Arabidopsis thaliana: one gene and its partner. Changing the gene in region 1 together with any one later gene gives a genetic interaction. Each region holds a gene or a part of one and is shown on either strand. Other genes may lie near its edges. The genes, in order: CESA6 and SOS5.

Region 1 (12,643 bases):
ACTAGGATATTCAAACAACGTGTAGTACTGTAGTATTAAGCCAGATATATTTTCAATTTAGAAGACCGCATGCATATCTAAAAGAAAACCCAAGGTTTTTGAAAGTTATCATTTTCTAGATCTTCTCGTCTAGTGGTCTTTTATAGACCAAGTCTTTACAGGAAGGAAAACTTAATCTTCCACTATATTACTTGACTAAATCTTCAATTAAAGAAATTGTTACGAATGAAAAATAAAATAGTATCAGTATCAAAATAAAAATAAATAATAACACAGTAATGTATTGCTTCTTAAACGTTGTGATCCACATCTTAAATATATTATTTTTTTCTAAAAATATTTTTATGTATTAGTATTTGCAGTTTGCTTATATTTACATGTTATAATAGTATATGTTTAAATCATGACTTTTAATGTTTAAACAAAATTTTTATCATTGAAATGCAAAGTTTACGTTATGATCATATAAATTCTTAATAACCACCCAAAGAGATATATATACGTGTCATACAAAATACTCATTTAAAAAAAATGTATGAATATAAATGCTATGAATTGCTTTTGGTCGGCAAATAATGCTTTAGAAAATTAAAGACATAGAAAGGACAGAAGTAGTTTATAGTTTCATATATAGGCAGAAATAGTTAGTTACATTATCATCTTCTTGTCCAATTTGTATTTCGCAATCCGACTTAAAAGACAGAAAACTAAGATCGTGTCTAAGACGTGGCACAATATGGCTGACTTTGCCTAAAAATAGACAACTCTCAACACCGACAAGTCAACCACTATTTTTATTTGGTCAAACAAAATCCCAAAATAGTCAATAGTCAAACTAAAATATATCACATCATAATTAATAATAAGTACTAGTATTAAGATTCTTAGTAACATTCCATAAAATCCTTATGCTTCCGTGTCACTTACGTACTACCCACATTTTTATTTCAGCCGCCAAAGGAACAGTAGACATTACATATACACACGAGTATTTTTGCTGAAATGTGACAAAATTAGAAACTTTTATTTCAAAAATGACTCGAAATTAAAGTCCTCTTTCTGGTATCTATGTGTAGACATTTTAATAAAACTAGAACGATACAAAAATATTAAATTACTTTGCGTAGTGACACTTACAAATGAGAAACAAAAAAGTTTTCAAAATTCTCTAACCAAAAAGACTAACCAATCTGAGTGCTGCCCTCTGCAGATATGATGAAAGCACCATGTCACTTGTCAAAACAGAACCAATAAAAGTGTAAAAGGCTGTGTAGATTCGGGCCTGTATTGGGCCTGTATAATTTGTTTTGGGCCACTCTGATCAAGTTCGTAATTTTCTAAGGTTTGGTAACATTTTTAATGGATGCTTTAAAACGTCTCCAAGCATGCGGATTGAAAATCAAAACCAATCAAACCTCGAGTAAATTAATTTTTCAAACAAGAAATAAGATAGGGAAATTAGTGAAAATAAATCAAAGTTCTTTAATCATAAAAGATTACAGATTGAAAATGCTCTTCTGTAATATTCAAAAGAGATCAGAAATATTCAATTAAAGAATAATTTGACAAATCTTTTTTCTCTCACCACCAAAGAACAAAACAAATAGACAACAACTTTCTTCTTCATCTCTATATCTACAACACATTCTTGCAAAAATAACAATTCTCGTAACAAAATTAAATCTTCTTTTTCTTTTCATTTTTCATCATCTAATGAACACAATGAAGGAGTCTTTTAGAGGTAAAACAATATCTCTCTTACCTCTCTTTGATCCGTGGGAATTAAACCTTTTTCACCAACCCATCCACCGGTCAATCGAATCACAAGCAGTCTAAACCACAGATCTCGAGAATAGGACCGCCTTTCGCCACAAACGGATTAACCCGGACCCAAAGAAGTGTAAGAATCGAGGCCAGGAGGATGGACCAGACGACAATAATGGTTGGCATTCTATCTTGTTTCCCAAGCAAACCTTTAAGGAACGGGTAAAGATGAATGATGACCCAAAGTGCAAAGAACAGTCTTCCGAAAAGCGGTCCCCACGAGTCGTATCCATTGCTGATGGCATCAGAGACTCCGACTATGACTCCAATGACGTTTATGATGAGTAGAGTCATTGGAGGGATGAGAAGTGAAGTCCATTTGAAGAGGTAAAGGTCAGAGAACTCTCCATCATCAGCTGCTTTTGATGTGACTGTGAAGTTAGTGTCGACACCAGCAAGAACCTTGAGGAGACCTTGGAAGAGAGCAAACAGATGCGCAGAAACACCTCCAATGACCCAAAACTGTTCGTTTCTCCACCAATCATCGATCCCAACTTTGCCCCATTGCATCTCGAGAATACCCGTTATTGCAATCGACGAGAAGAGCGCCATGAAGAGGATACTCGCATAGTTGCTAATCTGGAAAAAGAAGGAACAAGAATCGTTTTCCGGTCTTAAAACACACAACTTGGAATAAAGATTCATATGATACTTTTAACCCCCAGTGGCAAGGAAAATGAATAAGCACAAAACGTGAAATAAAGATTCATATTTTGAGAACTCAAGATGATTGTTTTACCTCGGGAACGATGAATTTTCCAGTGAGAAGACAGATGGCAGGGAGAGAACAGTAAACGATGAGCGGTAGAGAGGTCCACGGGTAAACCACAGAGTTAATGTAGGACAACCGCTCAAGCCATTTCAACCCACCTCCATAACCATACCAAATAGGACAATGCCTACTCAAGAAAATCTCAACCGACCCAAGCGCCCATCGAAGAACTTGATGGAGACGATCCGAAAGATTGATTGGAGCTGATCCTTTGAAAGCCGCTAACTTTGGTGTACAATAAACAGATCTCCAACCATGAGAATGCATCTTAAAACCCGTAAGAATATCTTCGGTAACAGAACCATAGATCCACCCAATCTGAGATTTTTTTCACAAGGTCATCATCAAAATCAAGAATTGATTGAATAAACACAACAAAGGTTTAAAACCGGCTGCTTACCTCTTTTCCCCATTCAGTTTTATCTTCATATCCGCAACTAATGACTTGGATGGCTTCTTTAAGCAGACAAGCCGGGCTTGCGTTTCTAGCCATCCCACCATTCTCCATACGCGCAGATGCAACAAATACAGGAGACTGCCCAAATTTCTTCTCCAACTTCATTTGCATTGCCTCGGTTGACTGTTCTACGTTAGAACCTAGAATGTTTTTTAAATTTTATTTTTTTAGTAAAATGCACCGACTAACGAAAGAGTTTAACAACAAACAGGATTTGTATGATACCTTTAGTGACGCGGCCCTCTTCGATATTTTCTAATGCGTGGATCTGCTTTGACGCTTCCCTATTCTTCTTCTTCTTATCCGCAGCCACTGTCTTTGCTTTACGATTCTTTCTTGAACCAAAACATAGGAGACACCATTTTGGCCAGCAATTGCATGTCTTACGTGGGCCCTTCTTCTTCTTCGGTGCATCAAATCCGTAAAGCGCTTGCCTCCTGAAAACACAACCTGTACCGACGTATATAGGCCCTTGTAGCCCATCCAAACCTTTCATATTGATCTGTAAATAAAGATTCATTAGTTGGTATTCTACAGAAATCTCAAGAAAAAGGGATACAATAGGAAAGTGGTGGCTGTACTTACATCAAAGAACACAACATTGCGATTTGAGTATCGATCGTGCCTATCAATCCCATCGAACCTTTGAGGGAACTGAACATAACAGATTTTCTTTCCTGACTGAGGATCCATCATGAAACACATTGCTTCTCTAAGAGCTTTGCTATTGTTGATGTAGTGATCACAATCGACATTCAGAAGGTAAGGAGCATTTGATAGAACCCCAGAGACTCGTATCTTCAACAAAAGTTTTGTAGATGAAATCAAGAGTCAGGAACCATTTCAATAAATGGCAAGACGTAATTTACAAAGAAGAAGGTTTAGAGCTTTAAAAAGTATATCATTTACCAGGGAATTCATAGCTCCAGCCTTCTTATGGTGATCAAATCCGGGTCTCTTCTCACGAGAAACGTAAACTAATCGAGGCAACTCGTTGTTTTCGACATCACGAACACCGTCACTTCCAAGGAAGACCTTTAACAAGAAAACAAAGTATAATTAAATTTTGAAGGACAACACATAAGAAGGCTTTTCAGAAATAAGAAGCATTTGAAACTCACCTGAATCATGCCAGGATGATCTCGCACACTATTACCGGGCCAAGGTGTACCGTCTTGCATAGTCCAACCATCCTCAGGCACTTTCTGTGCTGTTGCTACTAAAGCATTGATCTTTACTTTGAATTCTTCATAATCTCTCTGTCAAAACCAGTAAAACACACAATCTTTCAAATCAATTTTCAAAGCCACCATCTTCTTTCATAAGAGCCCATATAACAAAAGATTGATAACTTTTCTCATGAATTTTTTTTTTCTAAAGCAAGAATCAATTAGACCAAAACTTTTCTCATCAAATCAAATTTATAAAAAAGTAAGAACTAGTAACCTTCATGGCTCGCCGCTCCCTAACAAATGCGGGATGAACTTTATTCTTCAAGTAGTCCATTTTATGGCAGAAATACCATTCGGGAGCACGAGGCTCAATACAATATTTCTTGCAGAAAGGAACCCATTTCCTTGCGAATTCAGCGGTCTCAGAAAGAGCTTCGAAAGTAAGCATAGCAGCACCATCATCAGATACGTAACAAGCAACCTTATCGACAGGATAATCAACAGCAAGAATAGACAAGACAGTATTTGCAGTAATAAGCGGAGGCTCTTTCAATGGATCCACTGTACTAACAAATACATCCACAGGGGATAGTCCCGACGGTTTCCCTTCTTTCTCATATCTGCAAACAAAAAAAATAAGGATTATATCCCCAAAACAAAGTTTTAACATTTCCAAGTGTAATAACCCACAAGATGTAAGTACCTTAATGAGAGTCGGTCCAAGTACGTTTCTCGCTCGATAGGGTACCATTTAGGGAACTGATCAAGAACCCATGAAACAGCAAACCATATCTCACATATAACAGAAATAAGCCACAAAGCATATGCATCTTTGACGGGGTGAAGAATACGGTAGTGAAAGAAGAGACCAAGAATCACAAGACGTAGCACAATTAACATCCGGTAAGGATTTATCTTGCTCGATTTGATTGGTATCTTCCTAGACAATGGCTGCCTTCCCTCATCCATCCTAAAATGGAAAAAAAAGGCTTGATAAATATCACTGCAACGGAACAAGACATCAACAAAAAAAATTATATTCTTTGCCTTACATTGGAAAATCAGCATCATCACCATCTTCAAAATCAGGATCTCCTTCATGCCTAACAACCTGAAGTTTCTCATTCTGCTTTCTCTTCCATTCCTCCATCCGATCTTTCCAAGCGACACTTCCATAACCATAAACCGCAAGATCTTTCTGAGGTACCATAGGCCTTGGATGTGCAGCCACGGTCGGGTCAGAAAGAGAAACAGGATGAACTCTATTGCCATGACCACCAAGTGAAGGAGGAACAATAAGAGCATGTCTATCAGAAGAAATCTCAACGTCCTGTAATAAAACAAAAGAGAAATCTGAGTGAGCCAATTACTGAAGATGGGTTATACAATGTGGATACATTCTGAGATTTTTACCTCGTCGCCGTAAGTCAGCAATGGAATCTGAGAGCCAGGTGGAGCTGAATCCAAATCAGATTGTGGGAAACCGGAGTTGCGACGAGAGATTGACATACCTTCAGAAACCTGATCAAATCCAATCCCATTATTTCCATACTCAAACTCATTGTCTAAATCATCAATGTCATCTTCCTCTTCATCACCTTCAACTCTTGGACTTCCTAACAAACAACAACATAGGCCGAACAAATCAGAAAATCTTCTACATTCACAAAAAACCAAAGAAATTTGGTCTAACAAACAACGAACCTTTAAGACGTTTGAAACGGGTTTTGCACTGTGGACAAGCTTGATTGCCTTCTCGTCTTTCGTACTCATAGCAAGGTCTACACACAGGGAATGCACATTCGTTACATGCCACAAACGGTTCTCCATCAACAGTCAATTCGATCTCATCTCTGCAGATTTGACATGTCTGTCCACTCAGCTCTTGGACTGATCTTATCTGCACAAAACAGTAGAGTTAAATACATCAGATCATAGTAGTGACACTATCAGACTGGATCTCACACCAGATCAAAGTAACCCAATAACATAATTATTACTCTTCACATTGATAGATTCATAATTGCAATTGAAGAAATCTCTTAAATTGGAGAATTAAGACAAGTCAAATCCGGAAAAATCCATCCCACCGACACAATCAATTCTTGATAAAATTAGCTACAAGGGTACGTAATCTTAATACTAGTACTAAAAACCCTAAATCTTAATTGATTTGCAGTGGTAAGAGCCAGATCCACAAGAAAAGTAAAAAAAGTCAGAGACTTTTGAACAGAGATAGAGAAACACAGATCAAAAGACAGAGAATTGGAAACAAAAGAAGAGGAGAAACATACTCGGGCATTCTCATCGGCATTAATGAGGACAAACTCATTCCTGTTGTGAGAACCGGCGATTAACCGACCACCGGTGTTCATATTTGTCTGAAAACAGACACAGCTAACAATCTTGGATTTCACAGATCGATTGAGAAAGAGAGGAATGTGTTGTAATTAACTCAACTCGATTGTCAGAGATCCAGAGACCATAAATCAGAGGATAGATAGCTCTCTTTCTCTCTCTCACACACACACAAAGCGGCAAACCGGAGTCTAAAAAAACAGACTTTGATGGGAAAAATATAATAAAAATACAAAAGGGGGAATAGTGAAGGTGTATTGTATATATGGAGATGGTATTGATTCAGCTGCAAGCCACAACCTTTTCTTTTCTTTTGGTTTTGGGCCTCTCTCTCCTCTCTGAAAGTGCACACAGTCACAGAAATAAAGGATGATTCCAGAGCGAGAGAGAGAGAGAGAGTCAATGGTGGAGAGAGAGAGAGAGACAGACGCAAGCCTGCGAAATGATGATAAAAGGGGGTTAAGTACAAACGCGTAAGGAAGAAGAGAATCAGTGATTAGTTAAATGGTGTGAGATAATTAAAGGCAATTATGTAGATGAGGAAAAAGAGCACCAAAATTAGATAAAATTAGTAATTAAATTTTGAGAAGTAAAAGAATGTGGGACCCATTAAACCTTGTGTGTATCTCTCTCTTCCACTCCACTTGTTGTTGTAAAGAAGAGATTAGTAAAAACTTCCAAACACACATTATTATTAGCCATTAATTATTAACAATACTGTATTATGTGATGCATTGAATCACCCTAACATTTTATTTTGTCTCTAAACTTTAGGTCTTTTGTTTTGTTACAAAAAAAAGTCACCTTTTTTTTTTGGGTGATTTTCTTCACCCTAAAATGTGTTTAATTTGGTTTCGGTTAAATTTTCCTACCATACATGTTTTAAATATATAGTAAAATCAAATCTACTTTGGATGGAGCCTTTTAGATTTAGTTTAGATCATATTTGGTTTATTAAATATATATATTTTAAAGTTAAAAAATGAAAATAATATAAATGAAGTGAAACTCGGTTTGAATTAATAACTACATTTTGAGCCAATTCAGAGTGGTTAGTCAATTTTCTCTATTAATCAATTGATAGCCGAGATTGTATATAATCATTATAATTTTATTTTCGTTTTAATTATTTGTCTGCGTACACTCTCACGTTCTTGCAACATGTGCAAGAAAATAATAGTTGTAATGAAATAGTATTATCTTAATTTAAGATTAAAAAAAAAGTTACACAATCAAGTTCTTAATTCCTCTAATTATTTTGTTAGAGAGACTTCAAAATGTCGAGAAACAGATATGGGCATTTACTTCCCAGACAAAAAACAATCTGTAAGCATCGTGTCCAAGATCCTATTTTCTAGTTTTTTTTTTTGTTCCTTCTAATTTTTTATATACTTTTTTTTTGTTCCTTCTAATTACGTTTAATTTTTTACTTATTAAATTTATTGCTTAAGTTAATTATGTTCTACGCATGGACTGTATCATGGTTTTTGACTGTTGACTGCATTGGTTTTCACTTTTGCTTCCCTCCTTCCTCTCTTATGTTTTTACTTTTCTAGTTTTTTTTGTTCCTTCTAATTACGTTTAATTTTTTACTTATTTAATTTATAGTTTACTTATTTAATTACATTTTTATTAGTTTAATATCTCCATCCTCTGATAATTTTCTTTTTAGTTTTTATAGTTAAATTATTTTTCAACTTTGATCACTCTCTTTTGTTCAATCAGTTCTGTTTATTTTACTATATTTTTTTGTATGTTATGTCTACCATATTTTTAAATAACATGCTTTTTTTTTTTTTAATCTTGGCTCCACTCGCCAAGTCGCCATATAGCTAATTTTTCCTCCGTGCTTAAATAAGAGAAAAATGTTCAAATTATTGAGACTATGGTATCACATCACACAAATATATGCGATTTGCCCATGTATGATGTCTATACTATATGTATACATTTGCCGACAAATAGTTCGTGGTATATATAAAACAATATTTTAACAGTATTTTGCTTGTTGATTTTTTTTAATCTTTTGACTTGTTGATAGATATAGTCCGGAAATTAAAGAAATATTAAGAAACTTTCATAAAAAAAGATCGAACTTTAGTAGGTTACCACATCAAATGTCGTTTTCATGATTGATTGAATGCTGTGTACTGTCTTCTCCAAGCCCTCGTGCCACATGTTCTTATAGAAACTGTCGGTGCCCTTATATTATTCTTTTTCCTAGTAAATATTGTTTTAATTTTCAAGACTATAGAATAGAAAAACGTTTAAATTTTCGCTTATGTATAGTTTACATTACTTTGGTTCTTTGGAAATACCCAATTTACAACTATATATATACCACTAACTAAGTACATAAAAAAAAATAAAAAATATATTGCTTCTGTTTTTACTAGCAGATCGAGCTGGAGCGCTTGGTCAACGTGATTAGAGATTTTATGTACGTAGACCCGATTAATGTTTGGGTTGCACTTCAACTTGATTCGATCATACCACAGCTATTTACAAAATTGGTTGTTTCAACTAAAAAATATATTAGAAAAATACATAATAATATGTAGATCGTTCAAATTTTACGTTTTTAACATAATGTAAAATCTACTAGAAACTACATAAACCTTAATGGCGGGCTCGGTGTTAGAAATTTGTATTACTGAAAACCATAACTTGCATTACAGTAAAATCTATATATAAATATGATGTTAAAAAAATTCTTTCAATAATTTCAAACGAAATGGTATAAATTATTGATAAAATCTACAATTATTATTCTTTTTTTCTTTTCCTCTTTTCGGCTTCACTTGTAACTGATACACTCACGATCCATTTGCTGAGCGACGCGGAACATAGCCAATTAACGAGTGGCGAATACACCATTTTATGTGGGGTTTGTTTGTCGTTCACATGATTTTTTTTTTCTTTGTGTGATTACTTTGTTTTTTTCTCAAAATTTAATTGTTCTCGCTTTAAGATTACGCAATCAGAACGCATAGGCTTAGGTTGCACAAAAATTTACGCTTCATGATTAGCAAATTTACACACACATGTGTGTATATTGAGTAATGAGTTATATCTATATTTGCTATATATTTAGTATAATTTTGAGTAGTACATATCCAGTGTGTCAATCAAAGTAACATAGACCTTACCGAAAACAAAATCAAAGTAACATAGACGTATTACTTCACATTAAAACCAAAAAAAAATACATAGACGTATCAGGTCAAGTCTATAATCTACCTTGACAAAGAAGAAACCATTACAACATATACACCACTTAACCCAGTAAACATTTGTGATAAAAAAAAATAGTACTTCTTCGTTGGAGCATGTTAAATATTGATATAAACAAGTTCAAAGATTTAACTTCATTAACATGTTATTCTACAAATGACCGAAAACGAAATTGGTGTTGAAAAACTCATAGCGTTTGCGACATAGTTGTGTTGTTTCTTTAACCAAAACAAAATGTACCACCTAGGCTATATCACATAGTTGCTTGTTTCCTTCTTTATTCCTTTCTTTTGTTTCCATTTTAAAATTTCTCAAAGTTAATTAATTTAGCGATCGAAAATAAGAATCCTTCTATATATATATATATAATATAAATTATAGTGTCATTGCTTAAAAATCAAAGTCGCTACAGAACAAATGATTCAGCCGGAAAAAAGAAGATTTTATATGATGTCGGGTGATTAATCTGGAACAAAGCTCAATCTCTGTCCCTAAACGGAAACTCAAATGTAATTATGTATTTTGGTGGAAGCACATAAATGGTAAATTTCTTTACGTGTACATGAATTTAGTTAAACGATATGATTAATCTAAACACGTGTTGCATGACTCATGGGTGACTTTTGACTCGTTGTTATTTTACAAATTGTTTCTAGTAAAAGTGTAATCATAACTGCGAGATAGTGCGCAATGAGTAGCTTTCTTTAAAATATCTAATTTATCTTTTTCTACGCTGGCAATTTTCGTTGTTATTTATCTATTATTGACGACCAAAAAGTGCATATTTACGACGTGAGCTCAAAGTAAGAATGTGTTTATTCCATAACTCTCTGAAGAATAACATGGTTATAAGTTATAACCTTAAAATCGAAGACAATGACGACAAAATCAAACTAAAAAACAAAGACAACAAGTAAAATAAAACTACCCTTCTATATTGGTAATTTTGGTGATGTACATTTTTACAAAAAAAATAGCTAGACTAATGTTAACATAAAATTAATGTTTATAATTCAAACTAATGATGAAATGTAGAGAAAAAATCTAGCTTTCATTTGTACTACAGAATGGAAAACATCATTTATTTTCGAAAAAAATAATTAAAACTCTATGGAACGGGGAATACCGGAATAATCAAATTCTAATTACTTATTAGCATTAATAAATTGTTAATGCCACGTGTCAAATAGTAATTATCTTGTCGGTGGAGTCCATAAGAGGATGTTTTTAATTTTTTTCGTCCATAAGGAGAATTTAAGATTGGTAAAAATCATATTACTAATTAAGTATCATAAATTGATACATATATACGGCAAAACTTAAATTAATAGAATTTTTTAAAAGACCAGTTTGGTACACATGTATTGAAAATAATAGGTGCAGTAAAATATTTCAATAATTCATAGCCAATAATCTTCTTAATTCTTATACCTCCTACACTCTAAAAAATGTCATAACACACCAACATGGACTAATCCCATTAATACGTTATTTTGTAAAATATTTGTGGTTGCATTAAATTTGAAAAGTATATCCTATATAATTAAGCACAAAATTATATAAAGATGAATAAAACAATATTGGACAGCTGTGAGATTGCTTTGTTGTACTTTAGACAACAAACAAAAAAAAAAGTCTAACTGGTCCGTATTAAGGAACTCTCCTCTCTCAGATTTCGGGCAGCGTTTGAGATATTCTTACGGGCAGCGGTAACGTTAGGTCTTCTTTGCCTTTCGACAGCTCATGGCCAGTTTCAACTTCCACGAGTACAGTTCTTTATATTATACTCGCGACCTCATTGGTTCGTTTTAACAGTTCTGTTACCGTACGTTCGCCTGATCAGATTCGGACCGAAACTAGTTGTTTACTTTCCGACGACCGAGTAGGATTGTTCGGGTAAGATTAATGATATGATTTGGACCGTACGTAATTTTATTGTTAAGCTCAAAGTGGTTTTTATTAGTCGCTAAACGATCAACATTTTACTTGGCGTTAAAATAATTTCTTAATGTTTCAAAAATAGTAAAATTGAAAACTGAATCTTCAGAGAAAAATATAATCTCAAACCACATTTGAACCTTTTTTTTTTTCTAGTAAAGTAATAAATATCAAAACTAAAACATTTAGAATGTAATATAAAAAATAATATAAAACATCTACTATGTTAGAAAATGAAAAACCACATTGAAATTCTCTAACTCTGCTACTCTGCTTCCGAAATAAATTTAATATCTAAACGATAATCAGTACGGTCTATAATCGTCTATTGCGTAGATGTCTTGTAACTCGTTATTTATTTTTTGAATAGTGGTTAAGAGGTCATCATCGTAAAACGACTTTAAAATGTCAAAATCGAATTAAAGAGTAAAACAATTTATAGTTATTAATATATAATATATCACTTGAGGGAAGTATGATATACCGTTGTTAATTGTGAAGTTGAATTTGTCTTCCTAATAAAAATAAAATTACGGGGCGGCGGATAAGAGATTAAATAAATATAATATGTGAAAGAATTCACATGCAAAAGATTGGTCTTAACTCTTAATATGCCATTGCCATGTTCTTCTTCACTGCTACCCCATATTTTCCAGCTATGTGATTCTCTTTTGTAAGTTATAAAACATTTCATAAATCAAATCAGAGATTCAGTTTCGTTATCTTTTTAAACGTGGGAATAATTGGGAGAAGAATAGAATCTTAATTCCTAATTTGGTAGATTCAGAAGGTAAAGTAGGGAGAATATTTAAACAAAAAGAAAAGGATATTACTTGATTCCAAGTTCAATCGGATGGGGCAATCAAATAGCTAAAAGTTACCCCACAC
Region 2 (12,643 bases), on another chromosome or scaffold:
CAAGAAGCTTTTCCAAAAGAATCTTAGCATCATCTTCCAAACCAACTACAACCTCTTCTTGATCAACAGATCGAGCACGCCGAAGTTGTCTCACTCTCAAACTTGAAGTATTCCCTCCTCCTTGAGGCTCTTTCAAGCCTCCTATACCATAAGTCTCCCTCTTGCGAGTGATATCCAAAATTCTTCTCTTGAGAATTCTGATATCATCAACTATGCTGTACGCATCCATCTTCCTGCCTATTTTGTTGGTCAATCTCCTCAAGCCTCGCCTTTGTGACCTTTCTTCGAGTTTCAAGTGATAAGTGTCCAAAACATCTTCGACGTCATAAGCGAAATCTAAAACCAGTTTTGACCACTCTTTTGAGACCTCATCTTCTCTTTCTCGCGCTTCAACGTCCTTGAGATAACCATGGATGCACGTCAACTCCGTCTTCAGCTCTTCTAGATCCTCTTTGACTGCCATAAACATTGATGCTTCTTCAATGAGATAGTTGCCGATCTTTCCCACAACGAACTCCGTGATCGCATCTACCATCTTCTCAATATCGATTTGAATCCACGGATATCACCGTAAGCACAAGATTGAAGAAATGTTTTCTTTATTTCAGAAACCGTCGTACTTAACTTGTTGGAATGAAATTTCGACCTCTCCTATATTATCTCAAAACTATGCATCACCTTTATTAAAGAAACCGTCGTACTTGACTTGTTGTTATGAAATTTCGACCTCTCTTACATTATCTCGAAACTATGCATATATAGTTTGTAACTATGTCCAAAATAATTCAAGTAGACGTGGGACCAATATACGTTCTCATCTCTCAACTTGTTAGACAATCTTTCGTGGAAGTTTCAATTTTTCACATATATTTATGTAAGTGTTAAATTTTAAAGATTTAGAGTCTATAGATTGTTGTTCACACCAAACATATATGATTGACCATTAAACCCTAAAACAAGTTGGAAATTTGCGTTTTTGAGATAACATCTCTATCACCTTGAAACTCATAAGAAAACATTTTCTCTGGTTCGTGAGTGAGCAAAATGCTCATAAACTACGAGTGAGTTATAAACACCATACTTGTCTGATATTATAGTTGAGTGCTTTTGTGTATAAACTGTGTGATAAATTGATACAAAATGTGCCACATGTGTTCCAAATTTGCAGATGTGAATTACTAAAGCCGAGTATGACGGATACCAAGTAATTCTACTCAAAATAATAAGTAAAACAAGTGCGGTAAAAACTTTGATATCATTGTATCCATTCTTTAGACAACTGCCATAGTTACTTAAATCTTTCTATCTGTGTTCTTTTATTCTTCCTTCATTGTTCATTTTAATCTCTCTCTTGCAACAAAGCAAGTTAAAAACAGATCAGTCATTAACAGAAGTGTTATTATTGTAGATATGTATACATATTGGTATACACACATTATCTTCTTCTCGTGTTTTTTCTCTTATACAGATTGCGATATCACGTAATTAAAATTTAATCTGTGTTCTCATCAAGCAAGACTACTGTATGCTTACTCTCGCCATCCGTAAATGGATGGTTCTCGTCTTCTCCGGCTAGTTCTTGACCCTCCTTTTTACTAAAACCCAAAAGTGGGTTTACCTCTGTGTTCTCATCATCTTCAGGATCCATATTTTCTTTCATACCCGTCCTAGATTCCTCGCTCGGGTCAGCTACCAGCGGCTGAGGAAAAAGGTTGGCGTCATTAGGAGAAACCATAGTGTTCTCTTGGTCATCCTCATCGTAATTCTTGGTAAAATTGGAATTACATTTCCTATAGACTGTAGATTCTTGTAAGACTTCATGCTCTGACAAAGAATGAGATGAAGACTTGTGGTTAAAGCTACCGAAACCTTGAATCCCTCGAGACAGCTCACGAGCTCGCTTCCTTTCTTCCTTAAGTAATTCCCCTTTCTCAAGTAGCTTTAAAACCTTCTCTGCTTTCTTTCTAACAGCTAATCCCCAATTAAACCTACCAAAAAACAAAACCTTATAGCCTAAGAACATTGAAACTCTCTTCATACCAAACATGATCCGTCTTAAAACGCTAAAACCATTACCCTTTCTCGTCAATCTGTTGGAAGGTTTGCATTTGGGAGATAACATCTATATCACCTTGAAACTCATCGGAAACACTCTCTGGTCCATGAGTGAGTAAATGCTCAACAACTATTAGTGAGTTATAAGCCATCCTCCAGTTTCTCTTATCGAACTTTGCCAATCTAATTTACACCAAACAATAACAACAACAAATGCTCCAAATCTCAGTAATAGAATATGCTTGTTTAAGTAAAATGTATCGATTAATCACAAGTTATGTAACCTTTTGTGCAAGACTTCAACAATCGCCAAGTAATCTTCAAACTCAAAAGCAGCCTTTGAAATGGACCCTAAGGTTTGTGTATTTGGTCCACATGACTCACCATCCGTAGCTTCCTCAGTCATTCTTCAACCAAATTTACATACACATAAATCTGTGTTAGAAACCAAGACTCCTGAAAAAAAGATAGAAGCAAGAAGCCAAAAATAAAAAAGACTAACAGTTGAAGAGGAGTAACATCGGTGAGAGCTAAACGCGCCGTTTTAAGCTTCTCTTTGAAGAAAAATGAAGCTTGTTTCTTCAACTCAAGGAAAGATGGTGTTCCCATGGCGATGCTGCTTCGAGTTCTGCTCATCATTGACATCTTTCTTTCAAATTATTATCAAGAACCATATGAGAAAAACGAGAGAGAGGAGAGAGGCCTTTGGATCTATTTCTTTAGTGTTGGGTTAGTTCAAAAACAGATGAATTCTAGATTGGTCATTGAATATATGGACAAAAAAAACTTTAATATAACCAAGAAAAGTCCAAATCTGTGATCCCCAAAAAGGTCCACAAGATTGAAAATTTTGAATGATCGTTGATCGTTTTACATTGGAAAAGTCAAGCACTATAGTACCACCAATTACCATTAATTCCACATCAATTGCCTCAACTGATCTGATTTTGAATCATTTTTATAACTCATAAATTCATAAAAAGACATAGAAGTTACAAAATTAATAGCTTGAAAACGAATTTCTCGATTGAAAATACATGAATAATTCGTTTTCAAGATCAACAGTTAAAAAGAAAAATCTTAAATTACTCAAATATACGGTTTAGTAAAATAGTACGGTAGTAGTGTGTGAGCGAGCACAGGGGATCAATGACTCCCTTCTCTTTTCACGGAGTCAGTGAAGTGAAGTGAATAAGGTAGAGTTAGATCTGGCCGTACACATCCACACGCGCGCTGATGACACTGGGATCTTAAGATCCGACGGCTCTAGATAACCCGAAAATCTAGCGAGAAATTGACTTGAGAGATAGGCGATCTGGACCGTCGGTGTCAACTTGGTAGGACCCACTACTGCACCTGTCACGCACTCACTGTTTATTATTCCGCTGAGCTAATTCACTCCTGATATTTAGATTCCATACAAACTTCTTTAGAATTTCACCACACCTCAATCTATATAAATTAACCATTTAAAAGTTACAAATCCACGTGTTATTTGTAGAAATTAGAATATACTAATGTTTAGAAAATTGAGGTCACGCGGTTGCATGATGAAGTAAAATTTATTGACATATTTTAGGTTGAAACTGGGAATAACCTTCGGTAAAAGATGATTCAAGAGCAAAAGAGAAAATGAAGGATTTATATAGTCATGGGTTTTACCCAAAATCGCCCATTCAATCCAAATTTACATGGGAAAGTGAATTTGTTTTTTCCTCGACTCAAATACAATAACATTATCGTGAATAAATATAAACCCTTGTGAAAAAAAAAATCCAGTAAAAATAAATAAAGCCCTAATCGAAGGCAAAACATTATGTGATAAAAGAAAGAAAGAAAAAAAAATCATACCAAAACATAACAAAATGCTATACACCAACACCACAAGACCAAGAAACCAAGTGGTCTTTTAACCGCGCCGGAAGAAACTATCTCACGCGGTGGTGATACTAGTCGTGACGGCTGTTCACTAGAACTCTCCGGCGACAAAGAAATCTCCTGTGGAGGAGCTGTGGCAACGGGTTGACCCGATTTTGGAAATAGTTCTTTAGGCAAAAGAACTTTGGATACTCCGAAAACAGAAACCGGGTTTTGATCAAAAGCCGTTTGAGTCACAACAGCTAAAACCACACCCGAATTGATCGTTACGATTGACCCGTTAACCCGGGAGATGTTGAGAGTGTATGAACCGGCTCCCATTTCTTCAGTGGCTAATGTCGGTTGAACCGGGTTGGTTATTGATTCTAGTGAACCGAGAGTGTAGTATGAATGTAGCACGTGGAATTTTAACACGAATGCTTTTTGCTCCGCCGGTAATGACTGGAGGTTAACGTTGGAAGGGAGATCGGAGAAGGCGGAGTCGGTGGGGACGAAGACTGTGATGCCGGCGCCACGTTCGTCGTTTTCGAATTCTGTTATGACACCGGAAGCGACGAGGAGGGATAGAGCGACGTTGAAGTTGTGTCCGTTGATTAGTATCTGAGTGAGATTGATTCCCGCCGGTGGAGGGGAGAGAGATGTTGACGTCGGCGGTGGAGTGAGAGTCTCCGATGCGGTGATATCGATTCCGGTGGGGACGATGAGGGAGTCCACGGTGAGGACGGTTATGTTGGGAGGTTTGGTCTCGAGAAGCTTTAACACAGTGACGTTTTTGGTGGCTGGAGATCCGATCGTGACGGATCCTGAAGCCGGGTCACGGGTTACGTTAACGGATCCAGATCCAAAGAATGTACGACCGGAAGCTTCGTAGAGAGTAGTGACGGCGGAGCCTGACGGTGGAATACGTCGGAGATCGGAATCTGAAAGGAACTGGAGGAGGACATGGAAGCGGAGGAGATCTGCTAGGGCGGAAGGAGGTAGGCGGCGCGTGAGGTCCAAGGAGGCGGAGGAGAATTGAGAATTGGGAACGGCGAGGAGGGTTAATGAGTTTCTACCGGAGAGTTCGGCAGCGATGCCGGAAGAGACGAGGAGGTTTGAGAAAGATGAGAGATTAGGGAAAGAGGAGAGGACGGCGGTGACGTTAATTGCGGCGGCGGTGGAAGATAGGAGGAGAAGTAAATAAGGTAATGCGAGAAGGGTAAAATGGGAAATTGAGATTACGTTCGCCATTATTTTTTGAGTTAGGTCATGAGATTGGTAAAGAGAAGAACACAGAGAAGGAAGTGAGTGGATAGAGAGATGGGAGTGATGTGTGAGTGAAGTTTGGTGGACGAAATTAAAATTAGAGACATCGTTGGGAATTGTATGACGCGCGGTGTTTGGGAGTTTGAAGTTCACGCGTAGAACAAAACAGATGTCATTGTGTCAGAAAGAGAGATGCTTTTGTGGACACTTCTAGTCTTGTAGTGATTAGATTTTGGTGAGAAGATTTATTTGATTGAAATAAAATTAATGTATTTTATGTGGTGCCCACGTGGGGTATAGTTTTAATAATAATGTCATTAAAGTTTTTTTCGTTTGCATGTGAGTTTCCTAGCTGTGAATTAATTAAGCTGCAGTCACTTAATCTTAATCAACAATAGTACAATGCAATTACTTGGATTAGATAAAATATCGAATTAGGATTACCGTTTAGATTGTTTTTTTTCCCTCAAGTTTAGTGTATTTGATTTAGAAAGGAATTCAAATAGTTTATGAGACTATTTAGATAAGTAAGATAACCATATGTATGTAGGCGAGTATTATATATTTGGTACCGTTACTATATATCGGGCCTAATTAGTAAAACATTAGGCTTTAATCAAGTCTAAGTAATAAAGCCCACCAGGCCCAATAAAGAAAATCGCTAGGGTTTAAGTCTTAAGCACAGAACAAGGAGGCGATGAAGAATTGAATCTGTAGTCGAAAGAAAAGAGTTGGGAAAAAAATGGACGCAAGCATGATGGCTGGACTTGATGGTCTTCCTGAAGAAGACAAAGCCAAAATGGCCTCCATGATCGATCAGCTTCAGCTCCGTGATAGGTTCGTCACTTAGATCGGTTTCTCTGTTTTTCATTTAGGATTCTCCCAAAAAAATTGACTTTTAGCTCCTTGAAATCTTTGTTCTTATAGTTCAAAGCTAATTAGATTTGCTTTAGAATATTGATTCAAGGTTAGTGTGTACTTATTTCTGGCTAATTATAGATCTTTGGGTCCTTATGGTTCATTGATAAACAAAAGTTTGGATTAGAGTTAGTGAAATTGTTCTTTAAGATGTAACTGTGTTGTCTCATTTTGTGTGTTGTTGTCAAAACTCACAAAATCTTCACATTATTTAGGTTGTAACAACTTATGCAATGCCTATTGTTGTTTTGTGTTTAGGCCTTAACTTTGGCTACTTTTGTTGAGTTTTGTTTTTGGTGAATTTCAGTTTGAGGATGTACAATTCATTGGTGGAGAGGTGTTTCGTGGACTGTGTTGATAGCTTCACACGCAAATCTCTGCAGAAACAAGAGGAGACTTGTGTGATGCGTTGCGCTGAGAAGTTCCTTAAGCATACGATGCGTGTTGGTATGCGGTTTGCTGAGCTCAATCAGAACGCACCAACCCAAGACTGATATAGTCTGCTTTTTCTGTTTGGTTTTTTCGTACGGTTTACGAGTCCGAAACCAGAATAAACCGGTTGTTAGTTGTTCAGGTTACTACTCCGATACTGTTTTTTGAACATCTTGTACTGTGAAATTATTTTGACTGTATCCAGTTCTGATATTGATATTGACTTGTATTTCAATGGAGTCTAGAGAATATCATATCATATCAGTATTACATCGACCAGTTCCAAATTTTCAATGTGTAATATTGCTTAACATCTTGAAACTTTGTTACAAAAGAAATCGAGCTCTAATCTAATCTAAAGGTACCTTATTTGTTTTAATGATATCGACATTGGTAAGTCTAGTTTAATCAAACCGAAGTTTTGCTCGGAACCGTAGATTTGATTTGTGATCTTCGTTGAAGACGAGAGAAAGAGTGTAACTCTCCAAGAGAAGGAAGAGAAGAGAAGAGATGAGATGTAGATGAAACAACTTGAGTTCTCATCATGATCGTGTACGAGTTTATTAAAGTTACAACTTCTACGTTTGGCAAAACTCACTATGAGTTATTTTTGGGAGCAGATCATATTCGGTTTGATTGTGGAACATTACTACAATACTACTACTTGATTCATGTAGACGTGAGCGAGTGACTGATTTTCGTGAATGTCTATTTATTAAATTAGTGATAATAAATTAACTAAATTTGGTAATTGAAATTCTTTATAGGTATAGAAAAAGCCACCTTCTCTGTTGTTAAAAAAAAAAAAGGTAATATTAGTGGATAGCGATATTTGACATCATAATTAAGAAACTAATCATATGTGAGAAATGGGGGGAACGGCCTATTCCATCATGAACTTAGTTGTTTTATCGTATTCATACACATAACTTTGAGTCGTGCTTATAACTACATGAACTTAACTAAAATTTGAATTTCCTATGTAAATTCGGTCAAAACCATCAATTCGACAAACGGTGTTACTATTTTGTTAACGAGTGCTGACTGGGATGCCACGTCGTATCACAAAACGGCGTCGTTTTGTTCAATTATAGAAAATAAAAAATCTGAAACAAAATCTTACAAAGTGGAGAATCAAACCAACAACCTTTGGCATTATTACTCCACTTTGGAACCAGTAGAGCCAAGGTAACAATTGTTATTTTGGTCGTTTGAACAATTATATATAATGTAATAAATTAAAAATAATAAAAAATGTTCATGGAGATTTTCAAGTTTACGGGAGATGCTTTTCTTTGAATATCAGACCACGAGGAACATCCATGTTTTGGAAGGAAAATTGGAGAATGGAAACTGAGAATAAGCTGGTGGAGAAGAAACTTTGAGTCGTGTTTATAACTACATGAACTTAACTACATGTTTTGTGATACGACGTGGCATCCCAGTTAGCACTCGTTAACGGAACAATAACACCGTTTGTCGAATTGATGGTTTTGACTGAATTTATATTGTGTAGGAAATGCAAAATTTAGTTAAGTTCATGTAGTTATAAGCACGACTCAAAGTTCTATGTATGAATACGATAAAGCAACTAAATTCATGGTGGAATAGGCCGTTCTCCCGTGAGAAATGTTGGGTAAATGATTCTTTTTGTGGTGGAGTAGGGGTAAAGAAAAGACCAATTAACTTTGTAAACTTATAGTTTTTACAATGATACTTTTATTTATGGTGATAGAGATTTCATAAGGTTTAGTGAGAAAAAGAAAAGAGACTCCGAAGGTTCAGTAAGAAAAAGAAAAGAAAAGAGATCTAGAGGTGGAAGCCATAATCATCGTGATATTATTACAGGGTAAGTAGTCTAGAAAGGGAGTCATCTAATGGCAAAAAACTAAAGAAAAAAAAAAAGAAATCATGTGCTTTTTTAAAATAACATGAATCAAATAAAAATAACGAAATAATAATCGTCGTGATATTATTACAGAGTAAGTAGTCCAGAAAGGGAGTCATCTAACGGCAAAAAATTAAAGAAAAAAAAATCTATGTACTTTTTAAAAATAACACGAATCAAATAAAAATAACGAAAGAAACAACTTGCTATTTGTCCAAAATCTTATGTATTTTTGAACAATAGCATGTCAAAATAAACAACATCATGACATATTAAAAAATCATATGTAAAACATAAATATAGTATGTTAAAACGGAAAGATACCAGTATATCATAAAATATTACATAAAATTCAGAAAAACCATAAAAGTTTACGAAGTAACACGAATCAAATAAAAATAAAGAAAAAACAATTTGGCATTTGGTCATGGTCACCGTAATATTATTACGGAGTAAGTGGTGGTAGACAATATCCATAAAATGAAGAGAAGTCGATGACATAAATCCGGCGATAGAAAGAATCTTAGAAAAGAGAGTGAAAGAAAGAGAAAAAAAGAGAGAGAAGATGAAAGAGAAAATGAGAAAATGATATATTAGTAATTTTATTTGCCTCTCCGATAAAGTACTATTGCCCATAGTCATTTACTCTATTCTTTTTGGTTTCATGGTTATTTTGTACATATACCAAAAAAGGAAAGAAAAAGTCACCTTTTGAATATTAAAAAAAACTATTTAAGTTTAGCTATGGAATATAATTAAACCCATTGAAATTTAAGAAGTCAAGTTGTTGGAAGTTTTGTTTACTATTGCTTAAGTTTATGATATAACCAAGGTCATGTCTTAGTTATAGGATTTGAAACAATGGCCTACGGTCTTTCTTCTTTCATAATCATTTTAAGTGTCAATTCAAAAATATTAATGTAACTTAGACTTATGTATAGAAACCTGATTTTCTATATGTAATCAAGGACAATTCAATTTTAATCAAAATATTTTTTTTTATAAATTAATAGTGTCACACTGCAAAATTCTATTAATTTATCGATAAATGAAGAATTATTAGATTATACACACTTCTAGTTAATTTTGTAATTTTGAAAAAAATGAATATGAAATAAATTGTGTTTTTTAATAGAAATCAATATCCTTTTAAAACCAAATCCAAGATAACAAAAAATTATTTATACCTTGAAAACAATACAAAAAGATTTTGACGTACTAAAATATTATTAGTGAACCCTAGGATTAATACATAGTTAAGAAAAACAAACAATACTAAAATTATACTTTATTAAATTTTCTTACATATTTATATATATACTAGATTTTAACCCGCGGTATACCGCGGGACGATTTATTTTTTAAAAGTAATATATATTAAAACTTGCAAATTTTATTTTTATAAAATATTTATATTTTACAGTTTATAATTGTTATTAAGTAACGGTATACCACGAATCCATGAGATAATTGTAAAAAAACTGAAGTTTTAACCCCTATTAAAACAGCATATTAATAATATTTTAAAATTTAATAAATATTGATTCAAATACATCCACCATATAACCTAATTCCAAAATAGAACTCGTTCTGTAATTTTTTTACCGTCCATGATTTTTTTTTAAAATAGTAATTTTTAAAATTTAAGAATAATTTTTTATATAGAAAAGTTTTGCAAATTGTATCATTCTCTAATACATTTATATCTATAGTTTAATTTTATATATAGTAACATTATGCATACCACATAACATTTTTGGTTTTATATAATCTTTTCTAAATTAGGATGATTTGATATGTTTAATATTAGTGGTCTTAAAAAATAATAAATTAAAGATTTAACCCGTATTAAAACGGTGGATTAATTATATTTTACTTTTTTATTAATGTTGATTCAAAAACCCGTCCCTCCAAATCCGTCTTGTCAAAAAGCTATTTATTTTGTTAATATTAATTTTATTAATATTTATTTTATTAATGATATGATTCTGAATTAGAATCTAAACATTTTAGCTAATAACATAGGAGTGCACCATATTTATTTAATAGGAGAATGTCCATATGACCCGAATGCACTTTTATCCAAATCCACCAAAAAAGTCTTGCAAAAATACTATAGAGATAAGAAACGATAGTCGGTTTTGATAGGTATAAGATTAGCAAATATATTAGTTAGCATAAATTAGTTAAAGAATACAAATTGAAAAGGTATATTACACTTTATTCGAATATAGTATCAAAACTTATATAACACAGAGATTTGATAAAATTTTAATTGATGAATACTTTTTTTGTGCTAATTTTTATGTGATTAAGATTTAATTGATTTCGTATATAAAATATTAAATTGACTTATTTGTTTATAATTTGGTAACAGATAGATATTTGAATATTCAATATATTTTGCTTCTAATCTTTGATGATCCGTCTTTAGATCCAATAAGCCCTATAATCTAGATATTAACTTGCGGTATATATTTTAGTTAAACTAAAATTTTTTATTGTAAAGATGATTTAAAAATATTTGATATTATTTTATTTGATTTTAAATGTATAGTAAACTGTGAGTTGTATATGTTTTGTTGATATTATCTATATTGTTTAGTGTTTAAGATTATACACTTGTAGTTTGATTGTTAATTTAAGAGTTTCATCTGTAGTATACCATCTTGTATTAATATCGATCTAAACATGCAATTCTAGGATTTCCAACTTGTATTAAAAATTAAATCACATCTAATATGTTATTAATTATTGTAGTATATAAGATTATAAATTTTCAATATAATATGTATGAAATTGAATATAAATATTTCAAATTATGACCCGTTACTTAGTAGAAAGTTTTCTTAAATCTATTTTTTATCCGTTATAATATTTTTTTATGTATTGAACAGTTTATATTTGTTTTTAAAAATTCAATTTATGGCATATGGGAAAAAACTTTAGTTGTTTTTTTATAATGATGATATTATTTTTCTGAAAAAATAAAATCATATAAAAATGAGAAGTGAACTATAATAATTAATAAAAAATTAATATGATAATTTAGATATCAAATATAATTTGTTGATTTTAATTGGTTACTTTTTTAGAAATTAATAATGTATTTCGTTTTTCTAATTAAATTAAATTAATTAAAATTTAGATATCAAATCTTATATGTTGACTATGATTGGTTATTATTTTTGGAAATTAATAATGTATTTCGTTTTTTAATTAAATTAGTATTTGACTTTTTAATCCTTAAAGAGATAAATTAATTTACTCTTTAAAATTTTATTTCTAATGGCATACCTATGTAATTACTTACAAAAATTAAGGTTACATTTAAAATGTACTTCCCAAATAATATAGTAGGATGTATTATATATGTATTATATATATATTGATAAATTTATACAATTATTAATTTATGATACTGATGTGAACATATAATAACATTTAATTTTCAAACATTTTTTTATTATTTTAGGTTAAATATTACGCTGACCCGACTCGAGACCGGAAAATTTTCTTAATTTATAAAGGTTTTTTTGTACAAGCTATTCACAAGTTAATTAAATTTACAATTGTGCTCACTTCTTTTCTTATAGTTAATCATCGGAAATTTATTATCTTAGTTTTAATTTTAGTAATCTCTCAACTCACAAAAAATCTTAATCCTTTGAAAATCATAAAGATGTTGATGGAATACTTCGAAGAAGACGAAAGGATTCACTTTGATCCAACGTACTAAGAAGTCATCAACGATTAATCTTAAACGTGAGCTAAGATGTGAAGACTCCAGAAACTTCATAGTGATGAAGGATGTTTATGCCAAGGAGCCATGGTTGCTTGACCATTCCAACAATTCTTTTTTCAAAGAAGACGAGTGGTACTACTTCTCGACAAGAACTCAAATCTCCGAGAAGAAGATTGGTCGTGGTAAGTATTCAAAGGGGAGATCACGGGAGACAACAACAATGGCATCGGCCGCGGGAATTGGAGGGTGAATGAGAAAGAATATATCATCGACAAGGACATAGGGGATATCATTGGGATCAAGAAAAACCTAACAGATAAGAGCGGCAACTAAACCAATAAATCATGATTCAACGATTTGGTCGTACAATTTGTCAAGTATTTTATCATCTATATTTTAAAGTACCATGCAGGAGATAGCTTTTTGGGTTATTGGTTTATTGGTTGTGACTTGTGATTTAAGCCAAAAAATAAAATTTTGGT

What was found.
Region 2: changes in CESA6 (region 1) and SOS5 impair growth when combined (synthetic growth defect), as found in Arabidopsis thaliana (one study listed by BioGRID).

What each region holds. Positions count from the first base shown.
Region 1 is NC_003076.8:25,875,512-25,888,154, reverse strand, and holds CESA6 (cellulose synthase 6), read right to left. Parts: upstream 7,123-12,643; 5' UTR 6,601-7,122; coding exon 6,520-6,600; intron 6,126-6,519; coding exon 5,930-6,125; intron 5,842-5,929; coding exon 5,639-5,841; intron 5,556-5,638; coding exon 5,278-5,555; intron 5,196-5,277; coding exon 4,929-5,195; intron 4,846-4,928; coding exon 4,500-4,845; intron 4,313-4,499; coding exon 4,175-4,312; intron 4,089-4,174; coding exon 3,963-4,088; intron 3,852-3,962; coding exon 3,639-3,851; intron 3,556-3,638; coding exon 3,279-3,555; intron 3,194-3,278; coding exon 2,997-3,193; intron 2,915-2,996; coding exon 2,564-2,914; intron 2,404-2,563; coding exon 1,822-2,403; 3' UTR 1,427-1,821; downstream 1-1,426. UniProt on the Arabidopsis thaliana protein: Catalytic subunit of cellulose synthase terminal complexes ('rosettes'), required for beta-1,4-glucan microfibril crystallization, a major mechanism of the cell wall formation. Involved in the primary cell wall formation.
Region 2 is NC_003074.8:17,132,712-17,145,354, forward strand, and holds SOS5 (Fasciclin-like arabinogalactan family protein), read right to left. Parts: upstream 5,549-12,643; 5' UTR 5,164-5,548; coding exon 3,901-5,163; 3' UTR 3,635-3,900; downstream 1-3,634. Other genes in the region: RPP13 (NB-ARC domain-containing disease resistance protein), read right to left, coding at 1-535; AT3G46540 (ENTH/VHS family protein), read right to left, coding at 1,493-1,988, 2,077-2,238, 2,340-2,462, 2,558-2,700; TIM9 (Tim10/DDP family zinc finger protein), read left to right, coding at 5,921-6,015, 6,404-6,590; AT3G46565 (NAC (No apical meristem) domain transcriptional regulator superfamily protein), read left to right, coding at 12,220-12,343, 12,358-12,494. UniProt on the Arabidopsis thaliana protein: May be a cell surface adhesion protein that is required for normal cell expansion.